2 linked regions of the Arabidopsis thaliana genome follow. The protein of the gene in region 2 interacts with the protein of the main gene of each other region in a pairwise test. Each region holds a gene or a part of one and is shown on either strand. Other genes may lie near its edges.

Region 1 (3,755 bases), on a different chromosome or scaffold from region 2:
AGACCCAATGTGAGAGTGCTCAGTAGCTCTCTTGCTGGCTGCTCTGATAACTCTGATCTGTGGATTGGTAAACAGATACACTGTGTCGCTTTACGTAATGGTTTCGTTTCAGATTCTAAGCTATGCAATGGCTTAATGGATATGTATGGAAAATGCGGTCAGATTGTGCAAGCGCGTACTATTTTCAGAGCTATTCCATCTAAAAGTGTGGTTTCTTGGACGAGTATGATAGATGCGTATGCGGTTAATGGGGATGGGGTTAAAGCTCTTGAAATCTTCAGGGAAATGTGTGAAGAAGGAAGCGGAGTTTTACCGAATTCAGTGACATTTCTTGTTGTTATATCGGCTTGTGCACACGCAGGACTAGTTAAAGAAGGTAAGGAATGTTTTGGTATGATGAAGGAGAAGTATCGGTTGGTTCCTGGAACAGAGCATTACGTATGCTTCATCGATATCTTAAGCAAGGCTGGTGAGACAGAAGAGATATGGAGATTAGTCGAGAGAATGATGGAGAACGATAATCAAAGCATTCCTTGTGCTATATGGGTAGCGGTACTCAGTGCTTGTAGTCTTAATATGGATCTTACGCGAGGCGAATATGTAGCAAGGAGGCTTATGGAAGAGACGGGTCCAGAGAACGCGAGCATTTATGTGTTGGTTTCGAATTTCTATGCAGCGATGGGGAAGTGGGATGTCGTTGAAGAATTGAGAGGAAAACTGAAGAATAAAGGTTTGGTTAAAACAGCAGGACACAGCTTATTCATATGAATTGCTTTGTTTTTTCAGCATTACACTACACTTGAGCTACTGTTTTTGTGTCAAGAAACAGAGCAAGTCCACTAAAGTCTAAAGCATTGTTGTGGAACTGTCTCGTTGTCCTAATTAAGTCAAACACCAAAGAAGACATAGTCAAAAATAAAGTAGCATTGACCCACGAATAGTAGTAGGTGAAAGGGCAATGTCACATAAGGTTTAAGTTAAAGGAGTCGTTGGGATAAGGAGAAGAGAAGTCAAAAGATGTGTCCTTTTCAAAATCTATCCTTTCTTAAAAACATATCACCAGAGAGAATTGATCAAAACCACAAGAAATAATGATTAGAGCGCTGAGCACGAGGAAGGTTCGAGGCAGCTACAAGAAGCTCGGCGACGAAGAAGAAGCAGGCGCAGGGCTTTTAGAAGTGAAACCGGAGAGCGTTCCTACAAATCCCCATGGTCAATCCCCGAAGGTGAATAAACCGGTGGAGAAAACCAGGGGTTCGGCTCACCCTCTATTTAGTTTCTTCGAAATGAGTCTAAAGAGGAAGAAGAAGAAGAAGAGCACGACGACTGCAAAACCAGAATTCGCTAGGTACTTGGAGTATGTCAAGGAAGGAGGTGTTTGGGATAACACTTCAAATGGACCTGCCATATATTACAGATAGATCGGAGAAAGAGATTTCACAGAGGTTGTTTATATTTATTTTCGATTTGTGATATACCTTTCTATTTGAATAAGAAGGATGAATACATACATACATCAAAGTAGAAAGCTCGTCCATAAGCCATGATTCTGCTTCTTTGTGGACAAATCCATGTAATTTAAGTTTACAGTTTGATAGTAAGAAAAATTCTCGGTTTATTACTTGTTATCAGTAATCAGACTGGGTTTACAAATTTACGAATAAACACAGTGGGGCCCCTGATGACTACAAAAGCCTACCCGAAACACCAGGAGATGCCACGTCACTAAACATACAAAACCCCATCAAAACGCAGCCGTTCCGGTGATTCCCCAAAACCCAGCGTGATACGCGGTCGTTGCGAATGAAAGCCTTGGTGAAGAGGTTTAAATTAAGAGTTTGTTGCGACTAAAGCCTTGGAGAAGAGGTTTCTCTTTTTTCTCTCCTCCTCAGTATATATCTAATCTCTGTTTGCTCTTTTTTCGCACCATGTCATATCAATCTACCATCAATCGATCGTCTCTTCTTCCTCCGTCTGCGTTGATCTTTTCGTTTCGTCTTCTCCGATTGATGCTCTGTCGCGAGGTAACTATTTCTATCGAGTGATTTTGCTAGCTGCTGACTGTTCGATTTGATGATTAAGGTCTTGGTTCCGTGATAATCTCTGTTAAATTTAGTTTAGGCTACTTGATGTTGAATGATTAGTTTGATAATCTCGCACTCTATGGTTTGCTCCTTCCCGAAATTGAACTCTCAGATTGTTAGCTTGTTTGTATAGGTTATTAATTGCTTGACATTGATTTGGATTTTTGTTTATCCGTTATCGACTCTCTCGATGTTCATTACTTTATTAGTTGAACAACGCTCTCTCGCTGTTGTGTATCCCTATTGGTGGATTTCTAATTGAAATCTTCAATGATGCAGAGTCATGCCTACATTTTCTGCTGCCGCTTTGGGTAGATCACTAAATTCAGGGACGTCCTTATCTAGTAAATTTCCAAGCACACTGCAGTCAAAGCCGTCTATTTTGAATGATGAAAGTAAGCAACCTAAAGAAAAGACATTCACTCGTCCTCAGATGTCACCTTCTCTATATGCCACTACTAAAGAAATCCCTCATCCCAATTCGCCTTCTTCCTACCCTCCATCTCCCTATATCATCAATCACAAAGCTCGTGGGCCTGTTCTTTTCAATAGGGACTCTGAGGTGGATGGGCCTTCTCACCCGATAACCTCTGGTGAGGAAAAGATTAGTGGTAATGTAGATGTGGAGGCTACTGCCTCCTTGAGCAAGTCCACATCCCTATCATTTCCTATCACCGAGGCTATTGCGGTGGATCACACCAATGGTGTTCACACCCAAGGCATCCATGAACGTCCTGTTTGGGATTGCAGTCCCCCTCTTGGGACATTTTTGAACGAGAAGTCGGGAAGAGATATCAGCAATGGTGGGATTGGAAGTAATAATGCTACCAGTAATTTAGAATGGCAAAGTTACTTATTGGAGCCGGTAAGAATAAAAGCAGACAAGGAGCTTGAGCCTGAAAATTTCTATAACCCAGGTGAATTAGTAAGCTTCACAAGTAACACAGAGGTAGAAGATTTCGAGAGAGCTGAAAGCTCACACAGTCTTGCTACACATGTTGGAGAGTTTTATGATGCTTGCGATGGTACTGTTTCTTCCTACTAACTTTTTTAACCACGAGATAGCTAGAAAATTCTTATGATGTCTGACATTTCTAGCATCATCACTTTTTGCCAGTTCTTGGAGCCTCTTCTCCTTTAGTTTTAAGTGTTATATGCATATATCAGTATGTGATTTTGGTTGTGAAGTGGCCTTTTAGGCTTGGGATTCCTGTGTTTATAGTCATCTTGAATTCGTGATAGTTATGAATCAGATTTCCAAAGACATAGAAAATCTGCATGCATGATTCACTGGTATATCTAAGAAACTGGTTTTAATTTATTCAGTTACTGTTTCTTGGCTTCCAGAACTATCAACTGACAGTGGAATGCAGAGTTCAGCTAACAACATTGAATCTGAGGTAAGGGAGATGAGATTGGGTTTACTAATGGAAATCGAAAGGAGGAGGCAGGCAGAGGCGACTCTAGAGCAAATGCAAGTTCATTGGCGGAGGCTCCGTGACCAGTTGGCCGATGTGGGTATGTTCCTTCCTCTTGATCCCACCAGAAGCCAATACAGCATGAACCTAGCTGATGAGCTACGTTGTCAACTTGAGGTCACCAGGTTTGTCTCCGACACACTAGGCAGTGACTTGGCCAAGACAGAGGTAGAGATGGAGATGGAAGCTGAGC
Region 2 (3,755 bases):
CTCTTACATTTCAGTGAAGCAGAACATAACTTAGACAAATAAGAGGAAACAAAACTTCATTACTTCGTGATATACATGTCTGACATGAGAAGTTCTTCCAAGCTCTTACATTGTAACAACCTAATTCTACAGACAGTACAGAATAATTTTGAAGAATGCTCATTGCAGTTTGATGTGGCGATAACTGAGCACTAAGGGAGGCATTGCCCGAGTCGATGTAGAAGATATGTGAGTGTTTCAGGTTGAAATTGCGACTGGTTTTTCACGGTTTGCCATGTAAGTCATGTAGATAGTCCATACATACGAAAATGAGTTGCTTACAAGAGGCTGCATGGAAATAAAAGCAAGAGCAGAGTGAGTGCATCCTGAGATAAGCAGCAAGAACACAAAAAGTAATGGAGAACGTAAAAGGATTGTCTTTTTTGTTTTGTGTCTTGAACACAAGAATGGCGAGTCAAAAGGATTACCTGTAAATGAACAGGGAAGAATCTGAATGTGATAAAATCACATAGAGGCCAATACATGACACCGTTAAAGAGCGCGGGGAGTAAGTCCCTTTTCAATCTGGCAAGTATAACTGAACCGCGTTCCCCTGAACAAATATCGGAAAAGCAGAATAGCTTAGAACATGTCCAAGATCAAACAAATCTGACATCAAGAAATGAATTCAAGAAGCAGAGAGGCGACTTGTTATAAAACCTATGTAATTCAGAGTAAAACTAAGAGCAGAAACTACATTCTCTCAGTTTTGTTAATTCGAGATTGCGGGTTTCTTCTTATCTAAATAACCAATCAATCACCACTTATCATTCTCACCATTGACACATACTAGCCACGAGCAAAACTGATTAAGAGTTGAGTAAAACTGTAATGGCAAGCAACAGTTCACAATAGATAAACTTCAGAGTTGGACGATATCACAATTTTGTGAAGAATTTTCAACTGAATTGAGACAATAGAAGAACGAAAAGATATGTTAAACGGGTTAGTCTGTTTCTTCCTATCCTAACACAATCCTGTTCTTAGATATATACAAGGAGCTTTACCTTGTAGGGATGCATTCAATGAGAAGAAAATAACAGTCATAATAGGCCCGTAGATCGTCTGTCCCATAGCCATTTTCTTAAACGTTGTGATCAAATCTTGTTTAGGAAAGAGTCTTGACATGAAATTGAACCAGTAGTGAAGTGTTGGACCCAAGACAAATAAACCATATCCTCCCATCCTTGCTGTTCTCACCAAGTCATAAGACTCAGAAGAAGTTTTCGCAATCGTCTATACAAAGATCAAAAACAAAATGAACCAACCAACGTCAGCTCTTAAGAGCAAGTACTCACACTGTAGAAAGCTCCAAAAAACCAACACACTACAAGGAAACGTAACCGTAGCTAATAGAACTCCTCAAAATTCACATTGCACAGAGCTAATTAAATCACCATTTCAAGAAGTCTCATTCCTCCAATAAAAAACCAAACTTTACTTCTCCTACTGTTTGATATTAGTATCAAAGACCTAGAAACATCTCCCAAACAAAACTTAAGCCATTTTATATTTGTGAATCTCATAGCTAAAGAGTACAAATTTCACAAAAAGACGTAATTTTTAGCTACCATAATTGGAAAAGGAAACTCCTTTTTCCAGTAAAAGCCAATTGCTAAGTTAGTACCTGAGAAGACAAGTCGGCGGCAATGTAAATAAGAGAGGAAGTGACACTTTTGGTCACAACTGGGTGTGATTTAACCATACCAAGATACCATCCAACGAACCCAATCCTCGACGGAGATGAAGAAGAAGAGAAACCCAAAGAAGGAGAAGGTGAGACTCCTGTTTCTTTTGCTCTTTCGAGAAGCTGACGTGACCGGAAATAAGGTCTCGATTGAGCAACTCCGGTCTTACCATATTGGTCTGTTGACGCCGCCGCGTTCCGCCGTATGAGCCGAGCGGTGTCGACGGCTACGTTCCTGAACAATGCTCTGCTCATTATGGCTTCCGAGATTTTAGGGGTTGTTGTTGTTGTTCAGGTATCAGAAAGCTTTGATGATGACTGCAAAAAATTGATAGATTTTTCCAATTTAAGTAGTTTCAGTCGGTTTAGCTAAACCGTACATATACCGAGTTACCCAAAATATCCGGTATAAATGGCCAAAAAACTCAACCACTTTATGGAATTAGTTGGGGTGGGCATTTAGGTTTAACTTCGGATTCGGTTTGAGTTTGGTTCCGTTCGGTTTTTTGGGTTTTGTAAAATTCTAACCAAACTCAACCGAAAGTAGTTGAAGTTAGTATGGTTTGGTTTGGGTTTGGGTCAATCTATGTTCGGTTTGGTTTGTTTTTAGTTCGTTTGATTTTAATTCGGTTCTGAAAGACGAATCAATATAACGAAACAAAACTATTTCGTTCATTATTGTTTGAACGTTGAATTTGATCATAGTTAAGTTAAGCAACAAGTTCAAGTTGCAAAATTTAAGTTGAATAATTCAAATAAGGGAAATTTGTACATAACATTAAAAAAACTTTAATTAGGTAACTAACCAAAAACAAAATGTATGTAATATTCTTTGTATATTCTGTAATTTGGACTATTGTACCCTTTATGTAAACATCAAACATACTTTTCATGTATCTTCTGTGTTTTCTATAGTCTCTCATCTCCTTCTTTTTTCTATATATCTCATGATTCCTTCATATTTATTTTGTTATGGCCACTATTTCTTCTTCTTAACCAAACCCTAGCCTTAGTATTAATACTGATTGTAGATCTGCTTCAGAGAGATCGAAGGACCCAAACGATTTTATCTTATTGTTGCCTTCACTACCGAACGATTCTTCACCAATTTTTTTTTTTCCCATCTTTTCATCATTTAATGTGCAATTTCTTAGATTGTGAATTGGTGGAGAATCGTTCGGTAGTGAAGACAACAATAAGATATTGAATTATCCTCACGAGCATAGAAGACAACGGACTTACGAGTAGGAAGGAGTGTGTTGTATTTTTACACCTCACATGTGCTATTCAATGAATTATGCATATTATAGTGTTAGATATTTAATAACTTTATTTAGAATGGTTTTTCACCTAATTCACCCTTCAAATAAACCAAAAAAAAAATTAAACTACAAATAATTACATATGTACTAATATACAATATTACTAATTAATTAATTAAATAAACATATAAGGTTATTGGTTCGGTTTGGTTTAAAACAAACCAAACCGAACCATTTCAGTTGAGTGAGAAGAAACATAACTGAATAGTTTGAGTCTAAGATTGGATTTGGTTTGGGTCGGTTCTGTTTGGTTCGGTTCGGTTTGGTTAAAATGTCCATTCCTCAATTAGCAGTGCCATCAAACTAGTTACAAATTATAGGTTCGGTAGGTTCCTTTGGGTAGTTGGGTTTAATGATTTACACAACACCGTCAATAATTTCTCCTTTGCCTATGATCAATTAATGACGGTTTAATATCTTTTTCCTTTTTTTCCCTATAAAAAAATTCTCACGTGCGTCTATCGAAATCACACTAAAATTTTCTTTTTTCCATGAGAAGTTTTTTTTCTCTCCGGCTAAAGGAAGAAGAGAAGGTACCACAATGCCTCCTCGCACGGGAAAGGATAAACAAAACCCCAGGCTCCCACCGGAGGTGACTCGCCTACTCTACATTTGTAACCTTCCCTTTAGCATAACAAGCGAAGATACGTACGATCTTTTCGGAAGGTACAGTACGATTCGTCAGGTTCGAATCGGTTGTGAAAAGG

What was found.
Region 1: the proteins of AT2G14860 (region 2) and AT5G66480 interact in a two-hybrid assay, tested with the Arabidopsis thaliana proteins (one large-scale study listed by BioGRID).

What each region holds. Positions count from the first base shown.
Region 1 is NC_003076.8:26,545,089-26,548,843, reverse strand, and holds the start of AT5G66480 (bacteriophage N4 adsorption B protein), read left to right. Parts: upstream 1-1,843; 5' UTR 1,844-2,024; intron 2,025-2,363; 5' UTR 2,364-2,367; coding exon 2,368-3,109; intron 3,110-3,431; coding exon 3,432-3,755. Other genes in the region: AT5G66500 (Tetratricopeptide repeat (TPR)-like superfamily protein), read left to right, coding at 1-768; AT5G66490 (uncharacterized protein), read left to right, coding at 1,092-1,421.
Region 2 is NC_003071.7:6,387,583-6,391,337, forward strand, and holds the start of AT2G14860 (Peroxisomal membrane 22 kDa (Mpv17/PMP22) family protein), read right to left. Parts: upstream 2,087-3,755; 5' UTR 1,982-2,086; coding exon 1,667-1,981; intron 1,276-1,666; coding exon 1,047-1,275; intron 593-1,046; coding exon 468-592; intron 328-467; coding exon 238-327; 3' UTR 1-237. Other genes in the region: AT2G14870 (RNA-binding (RRM/RBD/RNP motifs) family protein), read left to right, coding at 3,590-3,755.